Xenopus tropicalis: one gene and its partners. The main gene of each other region encodes a partner of the protein of the gene in region 6 in a complex. Links are inferred from orthologs where the notes say so. Each region holds a gene or a part of one and is shown on either strand. Other genes may lie near its edges.

Region 1 (4,237 bases), on a different chromosome or scaffold from region 6:
CAGAAGCTACTGAGACCAAGCTAAAAGGGCAGCTGCTATCTTAAACAAACTGAGGGAGCTTCTAGGGCTATTTATTCAGGTATAGTAAAGCTTTCTGCAGTATAAATATAGGGTTCTAGCTTGCACTATTGTGGATAATTTATTGGCACTAAAATGCCACCATCACCAACACAAGCTCCAATAACATTTTAGACTAGGCCACCTTGAATTGACTGCACTGTTCAACCAGAGGAATATTATTGTAACAAATACTTACCCAGGGGCCCTTTCAGGTTGTGCACGTAGACAGTAGCATTGTTAGATCCAGATGCCAGCAGAAAGTTCAAGTCAGGGTCTTGGCTATGGCCATGATGCCAGCGCACAGCATTCACTAGCTTGTGATGCTGCTGAATGGTACAGATAAGCTGCAGACGCTGAGTGTGGAAGACCTCAATGGTTCTGTTTAGATGTTAGAGGGTTAAATTATATCACAGCAAAAGAATATGTGGCAGAGCAGTACTTCAGCAGGCTGGCAAATTAGATTTGCCCCAAAATACAGGCCCTCTGCATTTTTATGCCTTAAGAGGCATAAGATATCTCACAATATTTAAAGCTAAAACAACCAATCATACAGAAGCACTCAAACGGCCAATCAGAGCCTCTGATGGTTCATAGTAGTTTAACAGAAATAGGATTAGGTTTTAAATGAATGTATCATTATATTATAAACACATATACTTATTAGGCATATATTAATTTAAGACATAAAATATTTACACAAAACAGGAAATAAAATTAAAGTGAGGTGGATCCAATCAATGGAGGCAACCAGAGTGCAAATGCAGGGTAAAAGCTATGACCATAAGTTGCTGGGGCTGCCTTGGATAGAGTTAGAGAGAGAGCTGAGACCAACATGTACTTTTGAACATGAACTGCATTTTCTTAAAACTCCCTATGACTTCATGGGTTGCAGTGAAAGGCAGTTTGTTACACTGTGATGTTATAACCACACATACATTTTCAAGTAAGAACTGTCTGTGTTTCCTATTAAGTTCGGTGTGCTGCTCTTTAATGTTACATTTTCAAAATGGCACATTCCATTTATGTGTGCCACTTCCTCTAAAAGAAGCATAGTGGGGAAAAAAATATTAAGGGTCTCACCCATCTTCATTGCCAATAGCTAAATACTGTCCATCAGGTCTCCAGCTTAACTCTGTGTGTGCTGGTAACTTGTGCTGCAAAAGAAAAAAATCCACTAAACCCCAAGAATAAACTGATTACAAATAAGGCACAAATTAGGCAAGAGAAACCATATAACTACTCAGCACTCTATTCTGCAAAAACCCTATGGCTCATTTGGTCATATCATATAATCTGCCCTGCTTGGTACATGAAAGGCAAAGGAGACAGAGCTGACTGTAATTCCTTTAATACACTCTTTGCACTCACTTTGATGTCATTGGTGTCCCGGATCAGCTTGTTAATATTACTGGCTTCATCTGTCAGTTTCCAAGGATTGTGCTGGTAAATAACCCCTTCCCCCCCACAGCTGTACAGTGTATAAGTAGGACGGTCCCCTTCTGCTCCTGTAAAAAATAATAATAATGGCTGTATTCCAAGTAAGGAAAACAAAGACATCTTCCATAGTTTACCTTTATATTTGATGTCTATGTTCAGAAAATATATGGGTAAAATTTATTTTAATCTTTAGTTAAAGTACTGGGGAGAGCCTAATATAATATATCATATTTAATATAGCTGCCCAAAAGATGGCCACAGACGAGTAAATACATTACAGTATATCAAAAGCAAAAGGCAAGTTAAACCTGGATACTGCTGACACCAAGTCCAAAGACAAACTAGAGGGATGGAGGGGGGAAAGAGAGCTCACCAAATGAGAATGGAGGCAGCAGAGGTCCCCATGATAAGGAATAAACAGTCTTTTTGTGGTATGTAGCAGAAATCTGAGGGGGTCTGTTAAAAAAAAAAAAAATGCCCAAAATGTTTCTTATGACAAGAAATCAACAAACAGTTCCTGTCCTATATAGATGCCCCTTAACAATCCATATATCTTTCTAATTTCATACTATTGTGTAGTTTCAAAGCAAATCCTGAGTACTGCCAATTGTCCTAATGATTGGGGGCAGCCAAAAATATCCAGATTTGGACAGATGTTGGGATTTGCATAATAACTGATCCCAGTAATGACTGAATTGGACATAGCGGTATGCTCAAACTAGCTTTGATAGGCTAGTAAAAACTAGGCTAAATTATAAACTAGTTAGATTGCTAGCTCACACAGAGCTGCACACACCATCACAAACTGGATTCCTCAGGCTGCATTGCAGGCCTGTGTTCTGGGAAAAAATGCCACATATCACACTAATCTAAAAGTGGTTAACCTGCATTTGCAGCCAAGTTGGGCTATCAGGAGAGGGTTTGCCAATGTGGTAAAAACTCAACCTGCCTATTCACTTTTCAGCCATGTCAGTCAAGCAGGCTGTTGGGCAAGCTACATAAATGGGCCAATAAGATGCCAACTCACTCTGGAGGGGCTGATTTGGTAGCTTATAGTGGCTACAATATTGCTATTATTTCTATATGACACAAATAACAGTGTTGGCTGTACACATTATCACAGCTCAGTCCTTACTTGCTGATGTAGACCTCAAAGATGCCAACTTTCCCATCCTCGGTGCCAAAAGCAAGACTGCCCTCTTTGGTCGGATGCCATGACAGCTGCATTAGGCAAGAAGGAAAACTATCAATGCAGAATATCAACCTATTTTCTAAGCCAAAATATCCCATTGCAGACTCAGAGTTTCTGCCTGCTGTTCTCATTATCAGTTTAATCAGTGCAAATGGACAATAAAATTAACTTTAAACTAAAACCCTCCTACTGAACATAAATTCCTTACATTATGTAGCCTGAGAGGCAGAACAGCAGAAATTGTAACCATTTATAAAGACCTTAATATCACCTGCCCTCTTTATCAAAATGTAAGTTTAGAGCTTAATACATTAAAACTCATCCGCATTTTATTCATTTCTATGGGATTTTTAGATGTGTATTTATCAATGGGTGAAAATTAGAACTCACCATTTGATAAATACGCTTTTAAAAATTCTATAGGAATGAAGAAAACCTGGGTGAGTTTTTATATATTCAGCTGTAAAATCACATTTTAATAAATATGCCTCTAAATGTCCAAATTTGAAATAGTTTCAAATTTCTGAATTTCCATAGTTATATTTCCATTGCCTTAAACTCCTGCATGCGTAGATAACATTAGGGGCAATCTGACCATCTAGTGCTGTCATTTGGGCTGTGATACATGTGGCAAAACTAGTGAGAGGTGCAATAGGAAATCCCACTCTGCATTTGTTGACACTGATTGTATGGCTGCATATACTGGTAGCTTACATTACGCAAAGGCTGCTTACCGCAGTGACCTTGGATCTGATGCCCTGCCACAGGGTCTTCACATCATATGCATTGACAACCGACATTGTATTCCATACACGGATCATGCTGTCCCCCACCCCAACAGCCAGGCTGCCAGCTGCTACCGGGGAGAAAGCTAGGCTGTATACAAAGCCACCGAGGGAAGTTAGGGACCAGCAGCAGGACAGGGAACCCAGATCCCAACATTTCACCTGGGAAAGAAAAGGGCAGCATTTCAATTAGTACATTATTAAGCTAATTTCCGCCACTATTTATAGTGACAAGCTCCTGTTAATTCTGGGAATGGGTCAGTATCACTTTAACGAAAGGTCAACATTAAGTTTTGACTTTGCATTGACACTGACAGTATTTCTATTTAATAGTAGAAAAATCAAATTTTTAAGGAAAAGTACTTTCTGGGAAAAAAACTTATAACAGTGTATAACAGCTTAAAGGAGAAGGAAAGGCCAAAATGTTAGGCACCCCCAAGTGACTTTAATCGCCTACCTTTTACCCTGGGCTGGTGCCCCTGCTCGGAGAGAAGAGCACCAGGCCGGGGTACCTGCAGCGCTTCCTTGCCTTGTCCTTTAAAGCAAAATAATTTAAAGAGAAACTCACATCTCGGTCCATGGAAGTAGACAGCAAGAGCTCTTTCCCTTCCTCAGTGACCACAGAACAAAGGTTAAAGACAATTCGAGAATGATTCTGTCCATCAGAGGTGCCAAGGAGAGTCCACTTCTGCTTCCCAGATTTGGTTAAATCCCACAGGAGCAATTCACCCCTACAGCAAAAATAAAATGTATATTGCTGAAC
Region 2 (3,273 bases), on a different chromosome or scaffold from region 6:
CAAATAAAAGTAACAATAACAATTACATTGTAGCCTCAGAGAGCAATAGTTTTTTTTCCTACATTTGAAAGCTGGAATGCAAATAATGCAAAATCTACAAAGGATAAATAATGAAGACCAACTGCAAAGTTGCAAGGAATAGACCATTCAATAACATACTAAAAGTAACTTAAAGGTCAACTACATCTTTAAAGAAATAATTTTTTGCCTAATAAAAGAAAACATAATTCTAAACAAAGCACACAAAATGGTATTAAGGGGTACTAACCCAGGATCAAAGTTATATAATATATAATATTGTTATACAATTAGTATAATAAAAGACAGTATTTATTTGTCAGCGTGACAACACTAAGAATATTAAAATCATTTAAAACCCAAAAGCAGCACCCATTCGCAGGAAGGGGTCCCACCCTGAGACCATTCCGTCTGCAATCATACAAATCGCCATACTATTCAAAATAGAGCAATGCAGAGGCACTCATCCTCTGTGATTGTTGGATAGACATATTATAAAGACTGTTATAGCAATGTTAAAAAGTAAGCAGGGCCATCCTTGTGTTCACAATAAAGATAACTTTATTGTAAAGAGTGTGATAAATAAATTCTATAGTAGGAATGTCCTGTTTCCATAGGGTTCAAATAAACATCTTGCTGTGCCAATATTAATAGTGTGCAGTGTGTTACAGTTGTACCGCTCTCCTCTGATTGGAGTAAAGGAGTTCTCCAACAATGTTACTTCCAATGAGCTTGTTATAAAGTTGGCAATTATGTGCCCATGATAATACTTATGCATTACTGTCTATTCAGCTTATGATATCTTCAGCAATTCACTCCATCAGTTTGCAGGCAGAGCAACTTTTTTCTTTGGAACACATTGATCATCCACTGTGTACAGCACCTAGCAGAGTGGGGGCCCCCTATAATACCAATGGAATAGTGGCTGCTAATACTGTGTTTTAAATGATTTTAATGTTCTTAGTGTTGGCATGGTGACAAAGATTGCCTTTTATTATACTAATTATATAACTATTGTGGGTTTGATCCTGGATTAGTACCCCTTTCTACCAATTTTTTGTGCTCTCTCAATATGAAAAATGGGCAGGGTCGGAATGGGGGGTGAAGGGCCCACCGGGGCCAGCGCCCACAGCCTCGCTCCCCCACCCGACGTCCTTCCCTGAGCGGGTAAATTTAACGTGTCTGGGCAGGGGGAGCTCCGCAAGGGTCGGGTCTGGGCCCAGTCCGACCCTGAAAATGGGACACCTTGGATCAATGTATATCTAATAATCTAGTACAGATTGTAAAGGGTTTAGAGGTTACAACTGTGTTAATGATAATTCTAAACTGTCCAATATGAATTTATTAAATAATGTAGTGCTTTAAAAGTTACTTGTAAATGTAACTGCGATTTACAGTAGCATGTGTGTAACTCTTGGTTGTTGCCTTTGCAACATTGTTTAAAAAGTAAGTCTCCTCCAGCAAGGTTGGGCTGTCAGTCTGCTGATTTGTTACATTGTTTCTAAAGTAAGAGCCTCCGGGGCAGAGAACAGAAAAGGAAAGGCACACTGCTTTTAATTGCAATAATATATACAAACAACTTAAAAAAAAAAAAAAAAAAAACACACAATACATGTATATTACAAAGCTGCTTAGAATTTCATTGTTTCATTTATAAGGCAAAACATATTTTGGGTTTGCTTAAATTTTGGGGGAATAAAGATGAAAAGCTTAACTTTCTGATGTTTAGCCTGTCTAACAAGTCATGGAAATGAGCTTTGTGTGTTGACCGTACACATTTATGATCCCTCCATAAAGCTCAAGAGGAAAAGAACTGATCACTGTCCCTCAGTGGTAAACTGCATATTAATCAGAGGACCGGTTATGAGTGGGAATTAGTTGAAGGGCAACAGAGTTTTGTACAGTCAGCCTCTGGCTCTGTTTTGTATTCTGGTACAACCAAATATTTATTACTCTAGAACAGACTGTGTGCAGTGTAGTGACTGGTTTCTTTTCTTTGCAGGGGTTGGAGATTGTTAATCCTCAGGCGGCAGAAAAGAAAGTGGCTGAAGCAAACCAGAAGTACTTTTCTAGCATGGCGGAATTCCTTAAAGTGAAAAGTGAGAAGTCTGGCACCATGACACAGTGAGACACTACAGGGCTAATTTACTAACACAGGTGCTAAACTGTGCCAGTGCAGTTACCCATAGCAAGCAATTAGAATTTAGCTGTTTCTAACTTACAGCAGACAGTTCAGAACAAATTCTTACATGGGTGCGATGAATGCACTGAGGCAATTTAGCACCCACATTAGTAAAACCAGCCCCTCAATGTCTGTCCAGTCCTTTACTGGGCAGACTAGTATCATCTGATGAATGAACTGGTGAACACTGATCTGAAGCCATTTGTATGTACCTGGTCTGGATTGAATATAAATATACTGGCTCCTGAGCTGTCAGCAGTCAAAGGGATAACTTGGAAGGACGGGCTGATAACCAGAGATTTTCCATTGGACAATTCAGAAAGTTTTGTTTTTAAATACTTTTTTTTTTTTTTTTTTTTTTACTATTATTGTACATGGAAAGGCTGATACTTGCCAACTATTTTTTTTTTTTTGTTTTTTACAGGTGGGATTTGCCTTGTATATAATACATATTTGTTTTTATTTAGATACAATACAAGGCTGTAAATTGAGTTTTATTGTTGCACGTTAAATTCAGTTATATTAAAGGGGATGTCAACATTTAAATTAACTTTTAGTATGATGTAGACAGTGATAGTCTGAGAATTTGCAATTTATCTTCAAGTTTTTTGTGTTTGCTTAAGCAGCTCTCCAAGTATTTGGTTCAGAATCCTTAGGGCTCTGGTACACGGGGAGATTAGTCGCCCGCGGCAAAACTCCCTGCTCGCGGGCGACTAATCTCCCCGAGTTGCCTTCCCTCTGCCATCCCACCGGCGAACATGTAAGTCGCCGGCGGGATGGCAGACGCGGCGGCGCGATTTCGCGCAAATCGCCGAAAAAGACTCGCGAGGCTTTTTCGGCGATTTCCCGAAATCGCCCCGCCGCGTCTGCCATCCCGCCGGCGACTTACATGTTCGCCGGTGGGATGGCAGAGGGAAGGCAACTCGGGGAGATTAGTCGCCCGCGAGCAGGGAGTTTTGCCGCGGGCGACTAATCTCCCCGTGTACCAGAGCCCTTAATCCCCACATGCAATTTGGAAGGGTGTTGGTACTCTGTGCTACTGCTGAGCTGCACTGAGTACTGACATTTGTAGA
Region 3 (4,895 bases), on a different chromosome or scaffold from region 6:
AGGAACTTCTTTCAGAAGAGCTACGAGTATCTACTTTGTCATAATTAGCACCCTGAAAAATTCAGAAAGAATATTACATTCGAAATACAAGCACAACAAACTAGTCCCTTATAAACAAGAGCTATGAACAGTCCCAATGCAGGAAGGCCAGAAATGATACATTGTACATTGTTGATACATTGTACTTAAACTTGTCATGAAATGTGGAAAACAATACAGGTATAGGATTCATAATTTAAAAACCCATTATCCGGATAGCATTGAATTAGGGGAATGGCCGGTTTTAATGAAATAATTTAAATTTTTAAAAATGATTCCCTTTTTCTCTGTAATAATAAAACAGTACTTTGTACTTGATTCCACCTAAGATATAATTACCCCTTATTGGAGGCAAAACAATCCTATTGCGTTTATTTAACATTTAAATGATTATTAGCATACAAAAAATAAGTAAACCTTTTTTTTCCCCCTCTCTCTCTAAATAAGACTCTATACAGCCCCAGTATAACATCCCTTTCTTTCTGCACTCAGTCCGATGCAGATTCTGTATCACAAGAAGCTCAACCTAAGATTAGGAAGTATCTGAGAGAGCTGAGGTTGAGCTGTTTGTGATACAGAGTCTGCAACAGACAAAGTCATTTTAGGGGCTTTTAAGATAAAAGGCTTACTTCCCCTTTAAGGGTATGGAGATCCAAATTACAGAAATATCCTTTATCAAGAAAACCCCAGATCCTGAGCATTCTGGATAAAAGGGTCCCATACCTGTACATCAGATGTTGTTCTGCTGCAACCACCAAATTCAAGGGGTATCTCTGTGCATATAACTTGTGTCTGCCCTTCTGTCTATTGCTCAGGGAGTAGAAGAGAATCCCTTCACATGCACAGCCAAGCCACTAGTCTGTCCCAAAGCCTGCCAACTAGTTATAAACTTCTACTCTTTTTGTGAGCTATAGATTGCTTCTTTCTATCTCGGGTCTTCATCTACAGAATCCCTACACTCTCCAATAGTGGCCCTGCTCTTCAATACCTGTATATTTTATATTACGTCAAGATTCTAAATACATATATCTGTTTGTGACCGATGTATTTGCCATTTTTATTCCAGAAAATGGCAGATAACCTGACCAGAGTTATCTCCAGCCAAAAAGTATCATTTTTTGCACTAAGAAAATGCAATAACAGGCAACATTGAAGCATAAATGTATCATTTTCATGGGTTTTATCATTAAAACGTTATTTGGAAAGGAAGCAAGAAGCAAGTTTTTTACCTCTTTCTGTTTTCTGACTCTTATAACAATTTGTCAGGTCTCCTTCAGTTCTGTAAATCAGGTGGCTTGCAACATTGTTTTGGGAGTCAGAGCCAGGAGTGAATAGGATGCACCAGCCAAACAGTTACTGATTTTAATAGCAAATACATTTACATAAAAACAGTAACATCACTGACACATTTTAATGAATGTATATTGGAACGTTGCTTAGTATTACATTTGAATACTGTGCTTGCCTGGTGCCTCTTGTAAAAGCTGCAGGCTGCTGTTGTATGACAAACTTCCCTGTGTAAACAAACTCATAATAAATAATCTCTAACACAAGGCCCAGCAGTTTTTGAAACCAGAATCTGCTGCTGCTGCTGGCAGGTGTAACTCAACAAAAGCTGGCAAGTCACATAGAACATCCTGCTCTGACTTAAAGGCCCTTAAATTAACTCCCAAGATGAAGTATACAATGAAAGTGATACACATTGTTGATTTTCTGTGGTTTCAGAGTCATTTAGCCTTTACTAGGGATGCCAGTATTTTGGGATTCGGCAGCCTACAGCAGTGTGAAGACTATAGTGACATCACTAAAATCTCTCTCCCCTTCCTGTAGGTGCCAGCGGCAGCCTTCCTATTCTCTGAGCATGTGTGTAACTTGATCCTGTCTCCTGTTCTGAGCTACACATGCCCACCAGCCAATCAGAAGTGGATCTGCCGGGGGGGGGGAGGGAATGAAACACATGTGCAGTATGATGCAAGGAGGGAAAGGAAGGGGAAATAGGGATGGCTGCCTGTTCTAGAAAATATGAGTAAGTGTAACCAAGTAAATATTTGATTAGGTGAGCCAAAAGTGTGGCGTTTTTACTAAACAATAGGACTACTGGGCAGTATGCTTTTTAAATTTTGACTTGCATTCTCCTTTAATGTCAATCAGAGGCATAATGTATGGTGTGTCAGGAGGCACTGCCTGCATCAGGACCCGCTCTGCAAGCGCTAGATTTATGCAGAGAGAAGAAACCCTGGGGAGTAAGTGCTCTGTAAAGGGACTTACTTGGGTAATAAATAAAATGTTTCCCCGTTTATGCATGGGTAGTTTGGTTCCCTCCCACACTCCAAGAACATACAGCAGGTTAACGGGGTCTCGATAAAATTATTAGGCATGAATTGATAGGGACCTTAGATTGTAAGCTTCTCTGGGGCAGTGACTAATGTGAATACTGCATTATATGTCAAGCGCAGAGGAATGCCTGTGCTATATAAGTAAATAATACATTAATGGCATGGGGCACTGTGGGCAGAAAAAAAACATGGAGCTTTGACCCCCCCCCCCTCTGTCTTTTTTTTTATACAATTTTTCCACCTTTATTAACTGTAGAGACGTCAACCAGTTCCCTGTCATAAGGAAGATAATGATCCTCTGGGAATTTAGTTCCGGCATAGTTTGGACTAAATATCCCGAACTCAAATGTTATGACCCTCAAGGCATTGGGCTGAGTGCCCCACATAAGTTGCTGAACTATAGCTCCCTTGATCCTCAGCGTTAGAGGTTACTGCAAGTTGTAATTTTCCATTCGCTATAGGATCTCAAGCTGAAAGTCCAGGATAAAGCCACTCTGTAACCATAAGGTAAATGTAAGCAGAAAACTTACTTTGACTTGGGCCACGCTACTCTTCATGATACCAAGCTGCCCCCTCCAAAGCTTCTCGGGGAGATCGGAAAATGTAAAGACTTAGAATAAACAACCGCTTGTTGGTCACCGCCACCCAAATCAAATTACATAAAGAACAATCCCGCTTATTGGATTAAACGCACAGTGTTCTATTTACAATACCGCTCACACTGCACGACATAATACACTTCCGGTTTCCCAGCATTCTCTATTCTAGCCAGCGCACAGTGATATGTACGGGAGCCGAGACAGGACAAACGGGACTAAGAGTCGCAAGGAGAAGCTAAAATAGCAGCGTTGGCTGTAATAAGCGGTGTAGCTATATTGCAGTCCTTTACATTTAATCATTTACACAAATAGGCCCTTCTTCCTAGGTACCAGTGTATTTAAAATTAAAGGGACTTTAAACCGCTAAATATTTTTTGTTTAATAAGAGAAAGCTCTTTCCAATACCCATTGTTAAAAAATAAGTGGTAACTGCAGTATTTTCATGTCCATTCTTTGTTGAGTTTCTATTTTACTTGGTGCAGGAAATTCCCTGGGGTGAGGGCCCTGCTAAATAGTAGTCTGATTACTGACGGCAGCCTGTCACCAAGGAACGGACACTTTCCACATCATACACACTTTTTTTTTAGGGCTTCTGTAACATGATGTGAAACACACACGGGTACATTTATCAAAGTACGATTGCTTCCGAATAGTTTTTGTACTGCGCGTATTTTTTGCGACTTTTTCGTACTTTGCAACAATTTGTGCCACAAAATCGTATTTGTCGTAACGAGTACGAAAGTTTCGGATTCATTCAAGCTTCGGTATCATGACTTTCCTTGGGCCAGGTTGGAGCTGCAGAGTGCCATTAAGCCCTATGGGAGACTTTCCTTGGGCCGGGTTGGAGCTGCAGAGTGCCATTGAGCCCTATGGGAGACTTTCCTTGGGCCGGGTTGGAGCTGCAGAGTGCCATTGAGCCCTATGGGAGACTTTCCTTGGGCCGGGTTGGAGCTGCAGAGTGCCATTGAGCCCTATGGGAGACTTTCCTTGGGCCAGGTTGGAGCTGCAGAGTGCCATTGAGCCCTATGGGAGACTTTCCTTGGGCCAGGTTGGAGCTGCAGAGTGCCATTGAGCCCTATGGGAGGCTTTCCTTAGGCCAGGTTGGAGCTGCAGAGTGCCATTGAGCCCTATGGGAGGCTTTCCTTGGGCCAGGTTGGAGCTGCAGAGTGCCATTGAGTCCTATGAGAGGCTTCCAAAATCATGCACAGAAGGATCAAAGCCATTTACAATCATTCGGATATGAAAATTTAGTCACTTTCGGATCGCCGATACAATATTATCGTGACTAATACGATTTTTTCGTAAGCATTTTCGTGACATTTCCGATCATGAGAAATTATTGTATCTAATCTGAATTATACCCATTTCGAGATTTGAACTCATGCTTTGATGAATCAGCCCCATAGGGGCACATTTATCGAAGCACGATGACCACGATTGCAAAAAAATTTGTATTGTTGTAAAGTTTAGAACTTTTTGTAATGACCACGAAAATATCGGTACAATTACGCGACTTATTCGGGTTTTGCATAAATTTTTATGCAAAAGTCATATTTTTCGCAATGATTACAAACATTTCGGAATTCATTCAAGCTTGGGTATCGTGACTTTCTTTTGGCCAAGTTGGAGCTGCAGAGTGCCATTGAGTCCTATGGAAGTTTTCCGAATCATGCACTGAAGTTTCAAAGTCAGAAAGGTTTACGCGCCATTTACGATCGTTTGGATACGAAAATTGAATAACTTTTGGTTCGCAACCACAATATTTTCGTACGAACACAATACAAATTTTCACACAATTTACACCCATCAGAAATTTTTCCAATCATACTTATAACAATCAAAAATTTGTATATATACAGGACCAGCCTTAGGCCAATTGGGCCTAATAGGGCCCCGCACCGGGGGGAATAGGAAAAGCTGT
Region 4 (4,738 bases), on a different chromosome or scaffold from region 6:
GACTGAGTAAGCACAGACAGTGGCCCTGTGTTGAACTCCTCCTCTTCTCGCTTTTGTAGCTCTTCAGGTGTCATCTCACTTTTGGGCTTGTTAAGGAGACTCCTGAAGAGATTTAGAATCAGTGTGAGATGGCATTAAATTATTAAACCTTTTAATTACAAACAATGGTGTCAGTTAACAAAATCACAATATGCGCTGTCCAACTCTTAGTTTTGTGTATAAGTGCAGGGAATTATTTGGCAATATGTTATTAACATGGATCTATAAAGTGTCAACATATTTATTGGCACTGTGCAATAAAAGGGTGTATACATACAGATTATTATAACGCGCTGATACATTCTGCAGCTCTTTAGAGAGATTATAAACCATTCATGTCACTATTAGCCCCACCACAGTTTAGATTTCATTAACATACTGGTCTATGCAAGAATTGGGAATATATACAGTGGTGTGAAAAACTATTTGCCCCCTTCCTGATTTCTTATTCTTTTGCATGTTTGTCACACAAAATGTTTCTGATCATCAAACACATTTAACTATTAGTCAAAGATAACACAAGTAAACACAAAATGCAGTTTTTAAATGAGGGTTTTTATTATTTAGGGAGAAAAAAAATCCAAACCTACATGGCCCTGTGTGAAAAAGTAATTGCCCCCTGAACCTAATAACTGGTTGGGCCACCCTTAGCAGCAATAACTGCAATTGAGCGTTTGCGATAACTTGCAACGAGTCTTTTACAGCGCTCTGGAGGAATTTTGGCCCACTCATCTTTGCAGAATTGTTGTAATTCAGCTTTATTTGAGGGTTTTCTAGCATGAACCGCCTTTTTAAGGTCATGCCACAACATCTCAATAGGATTCAGGTCAGGACTTTGACTAGGCCACTCCAAAGTCTTCATTTTGTTTTTCTTCAGCCATTCAGAGGTGGATTTGCTGGTGTGTTTTGGGTCATTGTCCTGCTGCAGCACCCAAGATCGCTTCAGTTTGAGTTGACGAACAGATGACCGGACATTCTCCTTCAGGATTTTTTGGTAGACAGTAGAATTCATGGTTCCATCTATCACAGCAAGCCTTCCAGGTCCTGAAGCAGCAAAACAACCCCAGACCATCACACTACCACCACCATATTTTACGGTTGGTATGATGTTCTTTTTCTGAAATGCTGTGTTACTTTTACGCCAGATGTAACGGGACATGCACCTTCCAAAAAGTTCAACTTTTGTCTCGTCGGTCCACAAGGTATTTTCCCAAAAGTCTTGGCAATCATTGAGATGTTTTTTAGCAAAATTGAGACGAGCTTTAATGTTCTTTTTGCTTAAAAGTGGTTTGCGCCTTGGAAATCTGCCTGCAGGCCGTTTTTGCCCAGTGTCTTTCTTATGGTGGAGTCGTGAACACTGACCTTAATTGAGGCAAGTGAGGCCTGCAGTTCTTTAGATGTTGTCCTGGAGTCTTTTGTGGCCTCTCGGATGAGTTGTCTCTGCGCTCTTGGGGTAATTTTGGTCGGCCGGCCACTCCTGGGAAGGTTCACCACTGTTCCATGTTTTTGCCATTTGTGGTTCGCTGGAGTCCCAAAGCTTTAGAAATGGCTTTATAACCTTTACCAGACTGATAGATCTCAATTACTTTTGTTCTCATTTGTTCCTGAATTTCTTTGGATCTTGGCACGATGTCTAGCTTTTGAGGTGCTTTTGGTCTACTTCTCTGTGTCAGGTAGCTCCTATTTAAGTGATTTCTTGATTGAAACAGGTGTGGCAGTAATCAGGCCTGGGGGTGACTACAGAAATTGAACTCAGGTGTGATAAACCATAGTTAAGTTATTTTTTAACAAGGGGGGCAATCACTTTTTCACACAGGGCCATGTAGATTTGGAGTTTTTTTTTCTCCCTTAATAACGTAAACCTTCATTTAAAAACTGCATTTTGTGTTCAATTATGTTATCTTTGACTAATAGTTAACGGTTTTGATGAGCAGAAACATTTAAGTGTGACAAACATGCAAAAGAATAAGAAATCAGGAAGGGGGCAAATAGTTTTTCACACCACTGTACTAAATCAGATATAACACTATTTTTCTGACAACAAAACGTCTACTGGTGATTTTTTGTTTAATGGAGAATACAATTTTATTAAAAATGGGTTACCCTATTAACTGTCCATTTTGGTACGATTTTAATTACTAGGTTTAATTTTCCCCAAATAATCATGTTTAAAGCTGTTTTTACCCATCGCTATCTACTTGCTGCCTCCATGTTTTTAAAGGAGTGCCCCATAGTCAAAAACATTACTGAGCATGTGTGAAGTCCCACCCCTTATTGCTAGAGCAATTAAGCCTTAATAAACTAACAAAAAAGTCTGGGCTGAATGTGTTAAAAGGCATATTTTTCAGTCATATGCATTTTTTAAACACAAATTAGTGTTTAAGTTGACCACACAGATCTCTATAATCGTGCAAGCACATAAAGCTGCAGAATATTTCCTTTGTAGAAACTTGTCATGTGGGTCCAACCAGGAAAGATATGGAATTGATTAGAAATTGATTGAAAACATTTAGAACCATTGAAAATGTTTAAATCGTGTATACTGAATAGTTGCTTAGTATTAAAAGACACATATCGGATTTGAATTGGGCTAATAGAACCCGCACTTAGGTTGGGGGAAACAGTACCATTTTGTCCAAAAAAATGCTCATAGCGATGTGCCACCCACACCCGGATGATGGAGAACTTGCTGCAGGTAGCCATGTTATTAACATGCCTGTATATAGTGAGCAAGTGTCACATGCAATTGCATAATGAGAAAACCCGGGGAGCTGTTTATACACACGACCTGGTGCTGGTAGCCTGCAAGGGAAGCTTTTTGGCACTGCCATCTCTGCCACAGTAATTAAATCACAGAACTACACAGCATTTTCTAAGTGCAGGCAAGTTCCGGCTAGTACAATCGCATGCTCTGCTACATAGAGGCATTCGTTCTAAGCGTCAATCAGCTAAACTTAAGTAGATACAAAAGGCTAGTTTTTTTCCTTATTTTTAAGTATTTAAAGCTGGGCTGAAGATATTCCACCAGTTACTCACATCTTTCTTTTTGTCTTTCCTTTCCCTTCTCACGTTTTCCCGGCGTGTAGAACGCTTCCTTTGAAGGGCCACTTCCGCTTCCGGGCCACTTTAGCGGCTAGTTCCTGCTTGATTTGGTTAAGCCTGTAGAAACGTGCCCACGTGATCGACACGAAACAAGTTCCCTCCAGTTTGCTACGCAGAGGGGCAGCGGCGTAATCTGACAGAGAAAAGGCGGGGTGGATTAGTTAACAAAGAGGGCGCATCTAGTTCCTAGAGTGGTTATAGGACAAGGCAAATCTTATTCCAATATTGTTCCAGTATGTAAGGCAACGCTCTGTGCTGGGAATTCAGTCGCTAAAGAGCGCAATAAGAACAGTTCCATGTTTCATTTTGACCATGTTTTCTCAGATTGTGCAATTGGAGGGATATACCAGTAGGTGGCGCAATTGTTACATAATAATTATAATAGACGCTTATAACATGCTTAATAACTTTGAAACTGAAAACAAATCTGAATTGCAAAAGCATTTGGAAGACCGACCAGAAAATGTGTACACTTTTTAGTGTCCTATTGTGTAAAATAACTGAATGGATAGCTTTACTGCGTAGCAGATTTAAAGGTGTTCTTCACCTTTGAATTAACTTTTAGTATGATATAGAGCAGTGTTCCCCAAACAGTAGCTTGCGAGCAACATGTTGCTCTCCAACCCCTTGGATGTTGCTCCCAGTGGCCTCAAACCAGGTGCTCATTTTTGAATTTCTGGTAAAGGAGGCATGTTTTGCAGCCATAAAAAACAAGTATAATGCCAAACAGAACCTTCTGTAGGCTGCCAGTCCACATGGGGGCTATCAAATAGCCAATGATAGCTCTCATTGGCACCTCCAGGAACCTTTTTCATGCTTGTGTTGCTCCCAAACACTTTTTCCACTTGAATGTGGCTCACAGGTATGAAAGGTTGGGGATCCCTGATGTAGAGTGTAATATTCTGAGACAATTTGCAATTGGTCTTAATTTTTTATTTGTAGTATTTTTTTTAGTTCTTTCACTTTTTGTTCATCAGCTATCTTAGAGCTAGAGTCCAGATTACCTTAGCGACCAGGTAGCAATTTGAATGAAAGGGTGGTAAATAAATAGGAGAGGACCTGAATAGAAAAACAAGTTATAAAAAGTAACAATAACAATAAAACTGTATGCTCACCAAGCAATAGTTTTTTGGCTGCTGGGGTCAGTGACCCCTATTTGAAAGCTGGAAAGAGTTAGAAGAAAATAAAAAAATGATTCAAAACTATAAGAAATAATGAATAGGAATAGGCAATTCTATAACACACTAAAAGTTAAAGGAACAGTAACACCAAAAAATGAAAGTGTATAAAAATAATTAATATATTATGTACTATTGCTCTGCACTGGTAAAAGTTGTGTGTTTTCTTCATAAACACTACTACAGTTTATATAAATACCCTGCTGTGTAGCCATGGGGGCAGCCATTTAAATTGAAAAAAGGAGAAAAGGCACAGGTTACTAAGCAGATAACAGATAAGTAGCAGATTCCCATTGTATTCTACACAGTTTATCTGGTATCTTCTTATGTAACCTGTGCCTTTTCTCCTTTTTTCAATTTAAATGGCTGCCCCCATGGCTACACAACAGCTATTTCTATTAACTACAGTAGTCTTTCTG
Region 5 (4,237 bases), on a different chromosome or scaffold from region 6:
AAACTTTCTAGTGGATCCTGAATGGTTAACAAGGCACAAATGCTTTTCTAGTTGCACATTCAGAAGCTGCTCTATTTATTAAGAGAATTATTTAATTTATTCTCACAGTCCTAAAGAAAGAGGGAGATGATAGCAGAGTGGAAAACACTGGCTATAAAGAGAATTTTGAATATAAGAAGAACATGTTAATATAGGATAAAGAAAGCCCAATGGTTACTGTAAAGCTGACCTCCTAAACAAAGATGAGGTTATTTAACTTAATTACTGAAATGCTCGAAGATGGGGCCAAATACGATGAAGTTGTTTGAACCCACTGATTAGACCTCTTGGGGGCCCCAGGCAGTAAGATAAACAAATGTCCTCCTGTAAGGAAACGATGACCTGTGCCAGTCAGGATTAGGCAATAAATGGACATCGGTCTTGCCAACCATTTACTTTTGGCCAAAACAATTACAGGTACAAGTTCAGTCCTGCTATGTTTTACTCTGTTTATGTTGACATAACTGTATAGAATCTATTCATCTGTGTTTTTTATTCTGTAATTATTTTGTCTTTAAGGCGACCGTAACAAGTGTGCTAGAATACTTAGTGAACTGGTTTGAAGAAAGGAACTTTACTCCAGAGCTGGTAAAACATATATATAGATATATATCTTAATTTACAATGTGTTGTCTTTATATTATTATTATTATTATTATTAACATTTATTTATAAAGCGCCAACATATTCCGCAGCGCTGTACAATAAGTGGGTTTCATACATTGTACATACAGAGTAACATATAAAGCAATCCATAACCAATACAAGAGGTGAAGAGGGCCCTGCCCAAAAGAGCTTACAATCTAGAACCGTAGCTTATTATTGGTAGATCCCTGAATCAAAAAGAATATTCCAACAGTTGCAGACCTAAACAATTTTGTTTAACTTCTATGTGCCTACTGAGTACTGATCAGCACATAGTCACATACTTGTGACTATACTGGGTGCAGGCCCAGACTGCTAATCTGTGGCAAATACCAGAAGGGCAGCAGTAAGAGGCCATAGTCACTATTTAGTGGGCCTGTGGGGGGTGTTTGGGCCTTTCTGTGTACTTGAAATGCCAGGGCCTGTTTTGAATCTCAGTGCAGTGCAATACATGGCAAAAAAACAGTTGTAATTATAGTCTTCATCTTTCATTGAACCATTCCTCACTGTATACTTACTGTGCAAGCTCTACTCTACAGCACAATATTTGTTGCACACAACTTTTTCTGCCCAAGTAGTAATGCAGATATACTGCGGATGTCTTCTAGGGTCGTTGGCTTTACGCACTACTGGCCTGCCTGGAGAAACCATTGCTGCCTGAAGCTCACTCTCTTATTAGGCAGTTGGCACGGAGATGCTCACAAGTCAGAGCTGGGGTGGTAAGAACCTTTTTTTTTTTTTTTTTGCCATTTAAACAATATGTATAAATGTGGTCTACTTAAAAATTGGATCATTTTTCAATATATCTACCTGGAACGTTAGTGCTTCATATTGTCTTCTCTCAGCCTAAACCAGGGGACCCCAAGCCCCTGGATATGAAAGCTCCTGTTTGTTGGAATCTTGTTAGAAAAAAGAGTGGAGAAATTTTAGGACCCAAACTTTATTGTTTATGCCCCTTCATTAGCATTTCCCTGATCTGATTGGCTAACGCGATTTCAGCCCGTCAGATCAATGACCAGCAAACAGGCTGCACTGTTGAGTAGCCCATGCGCCCCACTGCACTGTGACTACGTCAGAATACTAAGCGATGTGGCCCTCCGGCTGTTAGAGAAAGAGACCAGAAGATTTATGCAGCACTACCTATCCCAGTAGACCCATTTAAAATGCTCTATTTTGTTTACTGAACCATATTACAATGTGTACATAGCCAAATCTATAGAAGCTGTTAAAAAGCTGAACATTAAATGATTCTGATTGTTACTTTAGTATTCCTCGGAGGTTTACTAACTTCATTAATCATTTTGACTAATTTCTGTTTTTTCCCCAAATCATAATGACACATTGACTATTAATGGGATGGATAACTTCTTACTTAGGTTTTAGTATGTTATAGAATGTACTATTCCTAGCAACTTTGCAGTAGTTCTTCATTATATTTTTTTTTATATATGTTTTGAATTACTTGTCTTTTTCTGCCTCTTTCCAGCTTTCAAATGAGGCTCACTGACCCCAACCAAAAAAGCTCTGTGTTGCTACAATTTTACTGTTATTTTTACTTTGTATTACTCAACTTCCGATTCTCATTGGCACATTCCAATCTGTTTAATCCACTGCCTGGTTGCTATGGCAAATAAGACCCTTGCAACTAGATAGCTGCTGAAATTCCAAGCTGGAGAGCCGCTGAACAGAAAGCAGAGTAACTTAAAAAATAACCCACAAAAAAATAAATGAGGACCAGTTGCAATCTGTCTTAGATCAATGTCTACATCATACTTAAAGGTAATTTAAAAGGTGCACAGCCCCTTTAAACCTTCTTTATTGGTATTACCAGTCCCCAAAATTTAGGTTTTGGCTGCACTTTTCAGGATTCATTCACATATCCTGAACTGGCAACTGGTGTGTGGGGTTCACTTGGGAAAACAGGCAGCTGGGATTCACCTGTTCAGAAACAACCAATTTAAACCTTTTCAGGCCAGAAGGTTGATTACAGTATGTGATTTAGTGTATGGAGCAATGTGGGAATTTCCAGAAAGCTTTCTATGATTTGCCAGGCAGTGATTTGTATGTGTGATGGGACAGCTGCTCCTTTCAGCCGATAATATGAATAACTGTGAATGTTCTTTATCCTAGGAACATAAGGAAGATGAACGGGTGTCTGCGCTGAACCTATTCATCTGTCTGGTTGGCAGGTAATGAGCCTCGCAAGGTGGAAATATTGGCTGCAATGTACTGAACTAGAAGTGAAGACTCTGAATGAAGAGTTCTAAGAACTTAAATGTTTAGAGGGTATGGGATCCCTTTCTGGAAAATCATTATCCAGAAAGCTACAGGAATGCTATCTCCGTTAGAATCTGTCTCATCTCCTTGTGGACATAGGAACACTAGGGGTTGTCCCTACCAGCCTTCTCGGAACCGGGCTGCATTCTCAGGCTTCCCCCTCTGTGGGATATTTCCAGCACCAGGATCATTTCTCACTCCTGAAGAGCAGGCCATCTAGCCGTACTCTGCACCTAATCTTCATAGTACTAACTGGGGGTGCCCCCAGCACTAGCAACTATTACTCAGGCAGTACCCCTGGGTTGCATATTACGCAGTTCTATAGGCCTCTATTCCTGGCTGTAACGGGTGGTTATTCGAGTTTACCACACTTTGGATACACGACAGTTTCACTTTTCCTCCATAGTGGGCACCAACTGTGCACTCAGGGGTACTATTGGCTGCCCACACTTGCGGGGAGGTACTGTCCCTTCCCTGCTCGACGCTCCTAATCTTCCTTTGGGACCCCATCTTGGAGATCACTGTCCTTAGTTCCCTCTGTGCATACCAGCGAATAATAGTGACAACTTATTTCCCGGGGGCATGGACTCCATTAAGTAGACAGACTCTCATTGTGCATCATGCCAGGCCACAGATGTTCCTGCAGCTTTTGTACCAGGCACTGCTGCTTCTGCTGAGACTGCCGCCTCCTGTCTACCTGAGGGTGGACATACCCCTAGCCCCTATTCCCTCTGGCTCTGGGATAATCACATCGGGTGCAGGAACTGGCCCGCTTCGCCCCTCAAATCAAGAAGGCCAGTTCTTACATTTGTGAGGCAGCACTAGACGCAGCTCAGATTTCCATAGAGCATTATCCTTGGTGTTAACAACACATTCATTCCATGATTTGTCCACACCAATGATTTCAAATTCCCTTCAATTGGGCCTGACCTCGGGCCTGAATTCTCTCAATGCCCAGATATTGCCCCTTTTGGTGCTATTACAAAAAACAACTGCTGTTGCTGCTGGATGTGAATGCTTTCGCCAGGGAGCACCCCACTTGGGGCCTACCTTCAGAAGTCCCTGACCTCCTTGGGATCTTAACTTTGCTGAGGGCACTACAAGAACTCTTATTTGAGCCCTTAGCTTCAGTTTCCCTGGTTAGTCTCACATGGACGACTGTTTTTTTTGTGGCCATATCATCTGCGCACCAGGTGTCAGAACTCTATTCTCTATCCTGTGAATCCCTCTTTCTCATTTTCCATCTTGACAAAGCAGTTCTGCACACTGTCTCCCC
Region 6 (5,004 bases):
TCTACCTTCTTTTGATCATCATCATTAAACAAGTTCAAAACTTATACAGTGTGGTGATTGAAGGGCGAGTAAACTGCCTGTTGATTCACTTCTCACAGTGATGGGAGCAGGACAGTGTGACTTTTTGGTATAGAGTAAATATATTCTCTCATATTTCTCTATGCCTTTTGTTTTTCCCTTCCTATTCTCCTTGGACAAACAATTCCTTCCAATAACAAAATAAACTAATTTAACAATTAGTAACTTAAACCAAGGGAACGGAGGGCTTTTAATGATGATCATGGAATTTTACAGACATCACCCTGTTAACCCTGCCCCTACACAAATAAAACTTACCTTGGGCCTTGAGAATAGCTGCTTTTCCTCTGCCGGCACCAGAACCCTGGTTTTTATTCTTCATACTCTTTAACATGGGAGCATTTTTCAACATGTCTGGGAGGATGAGAAAACGAATTTTGCTGCCTCTGATGTAGACCTGTTCTAGTTGTGCCACTCTGCCATCCCTGTACGTTACAGTGATGTTTGACATCTGAAAGTCAAAGTACAATTTAAGCATCCATGGAGGGAAGAAAAAAGGACACAGGCTTAACATACAGCACTATGTGAGGAATTCTATTACAATGTTTTATATTTATAAAGCTTTAACGGGATCGTGTTTGACTTCACACTCATGTCTCCCCCTTGTTTAGCTCAAAGAATAGCCAAAACCATGTTCTTTTCCTGGGAGACAGCACCAAGAACATTCATACACAGTAGAAGAATGTTTAGAAGACCAGTCTTTGCAGTTTTAAATTTCCTTTAATGTATATCCAAGTTGCGTAGAATTAAATTTTTTCATTACAAAAACAGTTTTTGGCTGGAGGACCCTTTTAATTAAAATAGCCAAAAACAACCTATTTATTGTACAAGGTAATATACAGCTGCGTTAAAATGCTTTAGAAACACTGCTATAGTCTATACCAGTAATGCCCAACCAGTGGCTCCCAGTGGACTTTAAGCAGGTGCTTATTTTTTGTAATTTCTGGTAAGGAGGCAAGTTTCTGTTGCATAAAAACCAGCTGTATTGCCAGCACAATCCTGTAGGCTTCCAGTCCCCATAAGGGCTACCAAATAGCCAATAACAGCCCTTATTTGGCAACCCAAAAGAATTTTTTATGCTTCATTTGCTCCCAAACTCTTTTTACATTTAAATGTGGCTCACAGGTACAAAAGGTTGGGAAACCCTGGTCTATAGAAATAAAGCTGCATGGGGGCAGCTATTCAAACAAAGAGGGCTGAATGGCACAGGTGACAAAAAGATAAGCTCTGTAAAATACAATACAGCTTATGTAACCAGCACCTTTAGGGCTCTGGCACACGGGGGAGATTAGTCGCCCGCGATTAACTCCCTGTTCGCGGGCGACTAATCTCCCCGAGTTGCCTACCCCTGCCATCCCACCGGCGAACATGTAAGTCGCCGGCGGGATGGCAGACGTGGCGGCGCGATTTCGCGCAAATCGCCGAAAAAGACTCGCAAGTCTTTTTCGGTGATTTCCGGAAATCGCCCCGCCGCGTCTGCCATCCCGCCGGCGACTTACATGTTCGCCGGTGGGATGGCAGGGGTAGGCAACTCGGGGAGATTAGTCGCCCGCGAACAGGGAGTTAATCGCGGGCGACTAATCTCCCCCGTGTGCCAGAGCCCTTACTCAGTTTATCCCAGCTTGGATGGCTGCCCCCACTGATACACAGCAGCTTATTTATATGAACTATAGTAGTATCAGTGGGGGCAGCCATCCAAGCTGCTGTGTGTTACTGAAGCAAACACCAGTTCTACCAGTGCAGGGTAACACTACATCGTATTTTGATTACTTTGAAACACTTACATAGTTTAAAAGAATAGGAACACCAAAATATGTTACCGTTTGGCTTCTGTGGGTAGATAAAGGAGACTTTTCTCCATGTTAAAAGAGAAGTTTATACATGAACAACAGAAGAGTGCTTAGTAAAAAGAGCAAAAGGAAATTGTCACCCTAAATATTTTTTAAATTACACAACAGGAATGCAATACGGGTGTAGCCACACCCCACTAACTAGGCTCCTGTAACTAACAGTTTAAAAGTGCATAGCAACAACAGCATTTACATATTTTACTTCTGCTCCTTATCACTGAGCTTTACTGTGAATATACTGACATCTAGAGACACAGCTAGGAAATTGAAATAGATTAGGATTAAAGGAGACATTGTATAAAAATTAAGAATGTACCAGTAAATTATACTCCTCTAGATATAGAAGGACTGTGGTTTAAAAAAAATTGTTTTTTGGACTGTTTTATTGAGAAATTCCACCAAAACCCTAATAGTCCCGCCCATCTGTTCCACTTCCTGCTGGCTGGATAGGAACCAATCAGCAGCTAGGATGACCTGATAGGGAACTGAAGCCTGTCTCTGCTTGTGTGAGTGCTGGGCTGTGATTGCCTTCCCCCCTCCTACTGTGCTTCTGGCAGGGACCGTTAGGACACGCCCACCCTTCATTTTAAACAGGGACAGAGAACTGATAGGATCTACAGGGAGCTCCAATAAAGAGGCCATATTTACAGATGAGTATTTTTTAGCCCAAATGAAACCCGCAGCATATATTGTTCATAATTGTCTACAAAATTAGGTTTTTTTTTCCCCTATTTTTCCATGTCTCCTTTAAGCTATTTACGCTTCTGACCACAATATAACTGCTTCTTTTGCAATGGATAGGGTAACCGAGGCACTATATAGGGAATAAATAGGTGCCTTTTGGAAAATACTTTGCCCCTAACAATTCACACACACATTTTTAGTTTAACACAGCCTTTACAATTGTTGGTCCATAAGGTCTATCACTAGAGTTTATACTGCAATCACCAACGTACTTACAAACATGGCATAAGGTAAATATTTATAAGTTTAGGTGCACTTGCTATAGATATAATACGAATGACTTGCTTATTTTACTTACTTGGCAGTTCATGTTATCCTCTGCTTCAATCAATTTCCCCCTGTATACCTCTCCGGTGTTAGTTTCACATGTCACAATGTGGCCTTCTGCCTCATGAAGGACTTTAATTGGTACACCGATAGACATATTGAGAGCTAATGGAGATTAACCTGCAATTGGAGAAATAAAAATTAGCAAAAAAACGTGGAGAACATACAAAGCGCAACGCAGGTTACTGCATACAATGCAGCCATGTGCAAACTATAAGGTATATTCAAATAAAAATCCTTATTACATAATGTTTATCCAGCCTAAAGCTTTAATCACTTACAGTCTATAAATTCAGCCATACATATGCACACAAACATGCCCAGCCCTTCAGAAACACATGCACGTTAGGACATCGCAGCAGCACAACCCGCAGAAGCAGAGGAGTAACCCTCAATGAATGAGTTCCCTGGGATACTGGCACTGAGGCCTACACAAACGTTTCAGTGCCCCCGGCCTAAGGCAGGAATATTTATAGAAACGGATAACGGACTGGTAACACAGTGAGATGCGTTGGGCCCGGCACCCTGTATATAACCTCACCATAAGGCAATATTTAGAGGGAAGCCCTGCTCACACTCATACAAAGCTGCCAACCGCACAGACCTAAGGGAAAGCGAACAAGCGCCGAGTAACCGAGACGCACACCCCGCCCAGATATCCGCACGCTGCAACCCCCGGGCCTCTCTGACAATCCTGCAAAGCGCAGACTTTTTACCGAACTTTTGTTTGCTTTGGGTAATACTTACTAGCGTGGCTCTGTTCTGCGTTCTAATGGCGTCCCGCCTGCCCCACAATGCACAGCGAAAGGAAACAGGCTGTCGTATCTCTCTGCCCCCTTTTCCCGGCGACTGCACAAGCAAACAACTTCCGGTGGGAAACAGATATGAGTGACTTAGTTCCGCTCATCAACCCATTTATCTATTCACACCATTTAAGAGCGGCTAGTTGCACTGCAACTTTTCATATTATATATTATGAATTATTATTAAATATCTTGAGCTGAAACCTCCAATTAGACTCAGACGTGCAATCTGTGGATTGTGATAAATGCCAGAAGGGCTGCTGTAAGATGTCACAGACACTATTTATTGGGGTGATAGGGGGCTATTTGGGTATCCGCGTATAATTAAATGCCAAGGCCCCATTTCCAGTCCGCACCTGATCAGACTGTTTCTTTTAGTCTGCGCTTTTAATAGGTGCTGATTCTGACTTTATTAACTGAATTGGCAGACCGCTGGCATATGTATGGGCCCAGAATGATCAGGCTTATTTTGTTTATATATCTGCTGAATGCATTGTTTCTGAACTGCCAGAAAGCACATGCAACATTAAGTAAAATGGACAAAATGGCATCTGTGCACAAAAATGTACCCCTGCTCACTGCTGTAAAATGTAGATTCACCCCCCATTCTACCATGAATGTATGTATGTGCACATACAGGACTGGAATTAACCTGTCACTGCAGCCTGAAACTGCTGTTTGTGCCATTAGCCTAAAATTGCAGGCTGCGCTAGTAAAACCATCACATAATCTTGAGGTAAGGGTAATGGCATACACGGTTTAGTTGCCCATTGGCTTTCCCACAAAAGGACAACAACATTACCCATAGCAGCTATATATAGATAGTGCCATAGGCCACAGTGGAAACACATTGAAGAAAAACAAGATGGCTTATTCTGGTATTGGCACAATAATCCGCATTAGTCCTGTTCTTCTAGCAGCCAGAAATTGGGCATCTGGGTGAGAAGGTCACCAGCGGATCTATAACCAATATGGCCACCTAGTTGTGGCTGACATCAGGCAGATCTGTGAGGGCCAAATGATCATTGTAATAGGCGCCTGTGTAGGCCATCAGGAGAGGACCATATCAAATATCTGATGTAGTCCTCCTCCAGATGAGATTTTTAAACCTGCCCAACATCTGCCTGATATTTCACCAGATTGCTATTGGATAGGCTGTAGGACAAGACCCATAAGGTGGCCATGCATGGTAAGATCGCTCA
Region 7 (4,237 bases), about 1.5 Mb from region 6:
TCCTTCTAAAATGTAAAAAATCCTTTACTTACCATATACTAAGGTTGCAGCCAAGCATCCCATATGGTGTGATCAGGCAAAAACAGATTTATAGCAGAATACCCCACACATAGTATTAACAGACCAAACCCCTACATTTACTCCTTTTATGTAAACTCATACTCATAATACTTATGGCAGAATAAATATATCTCTCCACTAACCACATTTTGCATCAGACTGGGATTTTAAAAAGGAATAATATCTGTAACTGTACATTAAGGGCCTAGCTCTGAAAAAGACAAGGGATAGACCACTTGGGTATTAATGTAAATGGTGCACATGCAACATAAGTGACCAAAGAAGTAGGTACAGAAAGAGATACAGAAAGATACAGAAAGAGGGAGCTGAACTTGTTCAAGTTGGTAAAATGAGATAGCAAACACAAACTATAAAGGTGGCCATACACGCACCGATATTATCGTACGAAACCTCGTTTCGTACGATAATCGGTGCGTGTATGGCATGTCAGCGAGCCGACCGATATCGCAGGAAGCTGCTGAAATCGGTCGGCTCGCCGATCGGCCAAGTTAGAAAATTTTGATCGGGCGCCATAGAAGGCGCCTGACCAAAATTCTCCCTTCAGAGCTGAATCGGCAGAAGGAGGTAGAAATCCTATTGTTTCTACCTCCTTACCTGCCGATTCAGCCCTGAATGGTGTGTGGCGGATCTGACGATGTTTCGTGCGACCGACGGTCGTACGAAACATCGTGAGATCGCCACGTGTATGGCCAGCTTAAACTAAATTACTGACCGGAACGCAGGAAGCCTGTACTCCCACAAATAATCTTTAAATATCTTTAAATTAACTTTATTTGCTTATGTTTTAACCCAACCCCATGGTAATGTAGTTTCTTAAAAACAGCAGCAATAAAAGGTGCCACAATTGAAATGCTGCTAAGCAATACAGTTTCCCTTTCAGTCAACCACCACCACCAGTTATGCCACTAAAGCAAATCTCTCAAATGACGACGGTTATAAAGCAACAATTGGTTATAGCACTTGCAACTTAACCCCTCAGCTAGGAAAGTTCAATAGATCACAAATTCTAGGACTCCTATCTAAAGAAGACTGTAGGACTGGTTTAGCTTGTGTACAGCACTTATGTAAAAGACAAAACATTTCTTCTGTCACTAAATTCTGCCATTTAAAGCATTTCTTAAAAGATCTTGGTAAGTTAAAATAAACCTCTCTCATTTTGTATAACCTGGTTAACTATACCATAGCAGCCCTTTAAACAAGTACTAAAGCTAAAATATTATGCCATTATGTCTGGGGAAAGGCAGGCTATAAAGATCTGCATATGGCATTACCTTTACACTGAGCGAGTTACATCACAGCAAGTAGAAAGGTCTGGGAATTGAGTTTCAGAAAGCACAAAACCAACAACAAGTTGGTTACCTGGAGAACAGAAGAGAGATACATGGCCTACCTGTTCCTGTGCCTGTGGGGTCCCCTCCTTGGATCTGAAAGAATGAACATGGAGTGGTTCAGTTCACGTTCCCTGATGAATATTCCTTAACCAAAATGCACTAAATTTAGTCTGAACTGTTGCCGGTACTCACCACAAAGTTACGGATGGAGCGGTGAAAGATTGTACCATCGTAGTAATTCTTTTTACACAGCTTGACAAAATTCTCACATGTCTTGGGAGTCTAAAAAGGTAGAAACAACCCAACCAACAAAATACTTTAAAAAGAGGTAAACCAAGACAAAATTTAATAAGGCCTAATCCCCACCTATTATTTGTATGCTATATCTGCCAAATTGTAAATTCTGACAAATGCTTATGTATTTACAATAAATGTATTTTAAAAGTATTAAAAAATATATATTTTTGTCTTATTTACATATACATGGTGCACAGCAAAAACAACAAGTAGGCGAATCAAGTCCTAAGTGTGCAAGTTTGATTATTTATGCACTAAATACTCATGTTTACACTTCCTAATTCCTAAGGCCTCCTATTCATGAGTTTGTGCCTGCTGTGGGTACAACAGATCACTAGATAAGTGGTCCTTACTCAGATAAGATAAATTGGGTCAGCACTTCTTTAAATATTTAACACTTAATGCTTATCCCCCCCCACCGTAGCTCTCTCAGTGAGCTGCTCATAACACACCCAGATCTGCATTGCCACAGTAACAGGATGAAAAACTGCTAAGGTGTTGCTATGGCAGCTACAATGTCTGTTATGAGTCAACTGCAAAGAAGCTTTCTCATATATAATGTGATTTTCCATCCCTTCTTACTTTTACAGTCTGCTACTTGCCCCCCAGAGGTACAGTACGACATTATTAAATGACAAATTAAAATACAACTGCATACACAAACCGTTTCTCCATACAGAATGCTACATTAAGTAACCGAGGGAGGAATTAAAATACAAATCAGTTATGTAACCTAGTGTTCACCCTCATGGTATTTGCAGTTTAAAAATTACAATACAAGAGACACTTTTCTTTGTTACCCAGGTAGTAAAATGCACTGCTACACTGCAGGCACATTTAGTGTTTCAGGCTGGTATGATGGAGAGATTAATATACAACCCCCCCACCACACACACCTGAACTGTATTTGCCTGCTCCTCTGTCACAAAAACGGGGTAAGCAATTCTGCTATTATCTATTATTGGTTTCTACTGGGGCAGAATATACTTTGTATGGTGCAACTGTGAGTTTTACAAATGGATTAACTCTTTTACTGCCAAGCACGTATGGCATACGTGCTGGCAGTAAAAGGGCTTAAACGCCAACGACGTGTCTCATACGTCGTTGGCGTTTAAGCGCTGCCCTCTGCAGCGGCGGCATGTGCCACGGCGGCAATGTGCCAGGGGGGCTGTCATCAGGGTCCTGCGAGCCGATCGCTCGCAGGACCCTCCAGGAAGCAGCAGACGCGATCGCATCGCGTCTGCTGCTTCCTCTCTCTCCCCCAGCGCCGGCGCCACTGAAGGTGGAGGAGATCGGTCTTCAGGACAGGTAAGGAGTATTATTTTTTTTTTGCATTTATACACTTACACACACTTTTACATACATTTATACACACTTACATACATTTACACACACTTACAGCACACATTTTAGCATTTTTTTTTATTTTTATTTTTTTCATTTTTCACACTTTTATACACTTATTTACACTCATATACACACTTACACACTATCACACAACTTTAACACATGTACACACATGTATACACAAACACTTTGGTTTTTTTTGTTTTGCTTTTTTTTTTTTTTTTTTTTCATTTTACCACTTTGTTTTTATTTTCTTTTACCTAAAAACTGTTTATTTTGACAGCGTAACTATTGGATCAGATATTCTGGCCACTAATTACACTGTCATGTAACTTATTTTGTTGTTTCACTGATTTGCACAATTTTTGTGGTTTTATCACATTTTATCCCTATATAAGTGTTCCTGATCTGTTTTTAGCATAGCTTTGCCAGGTGTAACTTTGGTGTACAAAAATAACTTTACCTATTTTGAATTCATCAGAATGTGTACTTTCCAAAAATATATGGTTTTCTGGGGGTCACTGTATAGTTAGGGGGGGTTACTGCACATAATACACTGACAGGGGGCTCTGTGTGCAAAAGCTGAGCTGGCAGGCGAGAAATCCTTATGCGCTATTTTCATTTAGGGTTCAGTACATACCGCAGACTTTGGTATATCTATGCATATTGGGCATCAAACTGTTCAGTAGGCCTCTGGTGTTCCTATTTGGGGTGATTTGTCTTTATCTGATCTTTATCAAGAAATTGTGAGAGATAAATGCGGCAAATTGCAACATTTTTATGCGATTTTCGAAATGTCATATAAATCTGCAAACTTAGGAAAGCTTTACAGCTTGGTACTTTGTAGCAATAAGAAATATTTACCCATTATAGATTCGGGGGGATGTGTATTTTCCAAAAATATATGGCTTTCTGGGGTGAATGTACTTTTTTTGTAGCATTATCCCACATAAAGGATGTAAATGTGTTGATTTTGCAGGAGCTGAAATGATAGATCATATGGGGGTATGTTCCCATTCGGGCCCCTACATGCCACATACTTGGGTAAACCTATACATATTGGGCATCAAACTGTTCAGTGGACCCCTGGTGTTCAAATTCAGGGTGTTTTATCTTGGTACCTAATGCTATGTGGGAGATAAGATGCTGCAAAGTGGAAGCTTTGAGGGGATTTTTGGAAA

What was found.
Region 1: snrpd3 (region 6) and gemin5 share a complex: the UniProt entries of both Homo sapiens proteins name them as parts of the SMN-Sm complex. The link is inferred for Xenopus tropicalis from reciprocal best matches to the Homo sapiens genes SNRPD3 and GEMIN5.
Region 2: snrpd3 (region 6) and prpf31 share a complex: the UniProt entries of both Homo sapiens proteins name them as parts of the U4/U6-U5 tri-snRNP complex. The link is inferred for Xenopus tropicalis from reciprocal best matches to the Homo sapiens genes SNRPD3 and PRPF31.
Region 3: snrpd3 (region 6) and cwc22 share a complex: the UniProt entries of both Homo sapiens proteins name them as parts of the minor spliceosome. The link is inferred for Xenopus tropicalis from reciprocal best matches to the Homo sapiens genes SNRPD3 and CWC22.
Region 4: snrpd3 (region 6) and snrpd2 share a complex: the UniProt entries of both Homo sapiens proteins name them as parts of the SMN-Sm complex. The link is inferred for Xenopus tropicalis from reciprocal best matches to the Homo sapiens genes SNRPD3 and SNRPD2.
Region 5: snrpd3 (region 6) and gemin2 share a complex: the UniProt entries of both Homo sapiens proteins name them as parts of the SMN-Sm complex. The link is inferred for Xenopus tropicalis from reciprocal best matches to the Homo sapiens genes SNRPD3 and GEMIN2.
Region 7: snrpd3 (region 6) and ppil2 share a complex: the UniProt entries of both Homo sapiens proteins name them as parts of the minor spliceosome. The link is inferred for Xenopus tropicalis from reciprocal best matches to the Homo sapiens genes SNRPD3 and PPIL2.

What each region holds. Positions count from the first base shown.
Region 1 is NC_030679.2:17,540,861-17,545,097, forward strand, and holds part of gemin5 (gem-associated protein 5), read right to left. Parts: intron 4,206-4,237; coding exon 4,043-4,205; intron 3,637-4,042; coding exon 3,424-3,636; intron 2,719-3,423; coding exon 2,633-2,718; intron 1,954-2,632; coding exon 1,871-1,953; intron 1,566-1,870; coding exon 1,429-1,565; intron 1,215-1,428; coding exon 1,141-1,214; intron 439-1,140; coding exon 257-438; intron 1-256. UniProt on the Homo sapiens protein: The SMN complex catalyzes the assembly of small nuclear ribonucleoproteins (snRNPs), the building blocks of the spliceosome, and thereby plays an important role in the splicing of cellular pre-mRNAs.
Region 2 is NC_030683.2:104,946,302-104,949,574, reverse strand, and holds the end of prpf31 (U4/U6 small nuclear ribonucleoprotein Prp31), read left to right. Parts: intron 1-2,020; coding exon 2,021-2,146; 3' UTR 2,147-2,536; downstream 2,537-3,273. UniProt on the Homo sapiens protein: Involved in pre-mRNA splicing as component of the spliceosome. Required for the assembly of the U4/U5/U6 tri-snRNP complex, one of the building blocks of the spliceosome.
Region 3 is NC_030685.2:63,083,482-63,088,376, reverse strand, and holds the start of cwc22 (pre-mRNA-splicing factor CWC22 homolog), read right to left. Parts: upstream 3,154-4,895; 5' UTR 2,933-3,153; coding exon 2,906-2,932; intron 53-2,905; coding exon 1-52. UniProt on the Homo sapiens protein: Required for pre-mRNA splicing as component of the spliceosome. As a component of the minor spliceosome, involved in the splicing of U12-type introns in pre-mRNAs. Promotes exon-junction complex (EJC) assembly.
Region 4 is NC_030684.2:70,385,860-70,390,597, forward strand, and holds the start of snrpd2 (small nuclear ribonucleoprotein Sm D2), read right to left. Parts: upstream 3,149-4,738; 5' UTR 3,078-3,148; coding exon 3,076-3,077; intron 103-3,075; coding exon 1-102. UniProt on the Homo sapiens protein: Plays a role in pre-mRNA splicing as a core component of the spliceosomal U1, U2, U4 and U5 small nuclear ribonucleoproteins (snRNPs), the building blocks of the spliceosome.
Region 5 is NC_030684.2:114,047,635-114,051,871, reverse strand, and holds part of gemin2 (gem-associated protein 2), read left to right. Parts: intron 1-558; coding exon 559-627; intron 628-1,292; coding exon 1,293-1,403; intron 1,404-2,814; coding exon 2,815-2,873; intron 2,874-4,237. UniProt on the Homo sapiens protein: The SMN complex catalyzes the assembly of small nuclear ribonucleoproteins (snRNPs), the building blocks of the spliceosome, and thereby plays an important role in the splicing of cellular pre-mRNAs.
Region 6 is NC_030677.2:152,604,769-152,609,772, reverse strand, and holds the start of snrpd3 (small nuclear ribonucleoprotein Sm D3), read right to left. Parts: upstream 3,120-5,004; 5' UTR 3,097-3,119; coding exon 2,971-3,096; intron 530-2,970; coding exon 337-529; intron 1-336. UniProt on the Homo sapiens protein: Plays a role in pre-mRNA splicing as a core component of the spliceosomal U1, U2, U4 and U5 small nuclear ribonucleoproteins (snRNPs), the building blocks of the spliceosome.
Region 7 is NC_030677.2:154,127,865-154,132,101, forward strand, and holds part of ppil2 (peptidyl-prolyl cis-trans isomerase-like 2), read right to left. Parts: intron 1,695-4,237; coding exon 1,605-1,694; intron 1,506-1,604; coding exon 1,472-1,505; intron 1-1,471. UniProt on the Homo sapiens protein: Has a ubiquitin-protein ligase activity acting as an E3 ubiquitin protein ligase or as an ubiquitin-ubiquitin ligase promoting elongation of ubiquitin chains on substrates.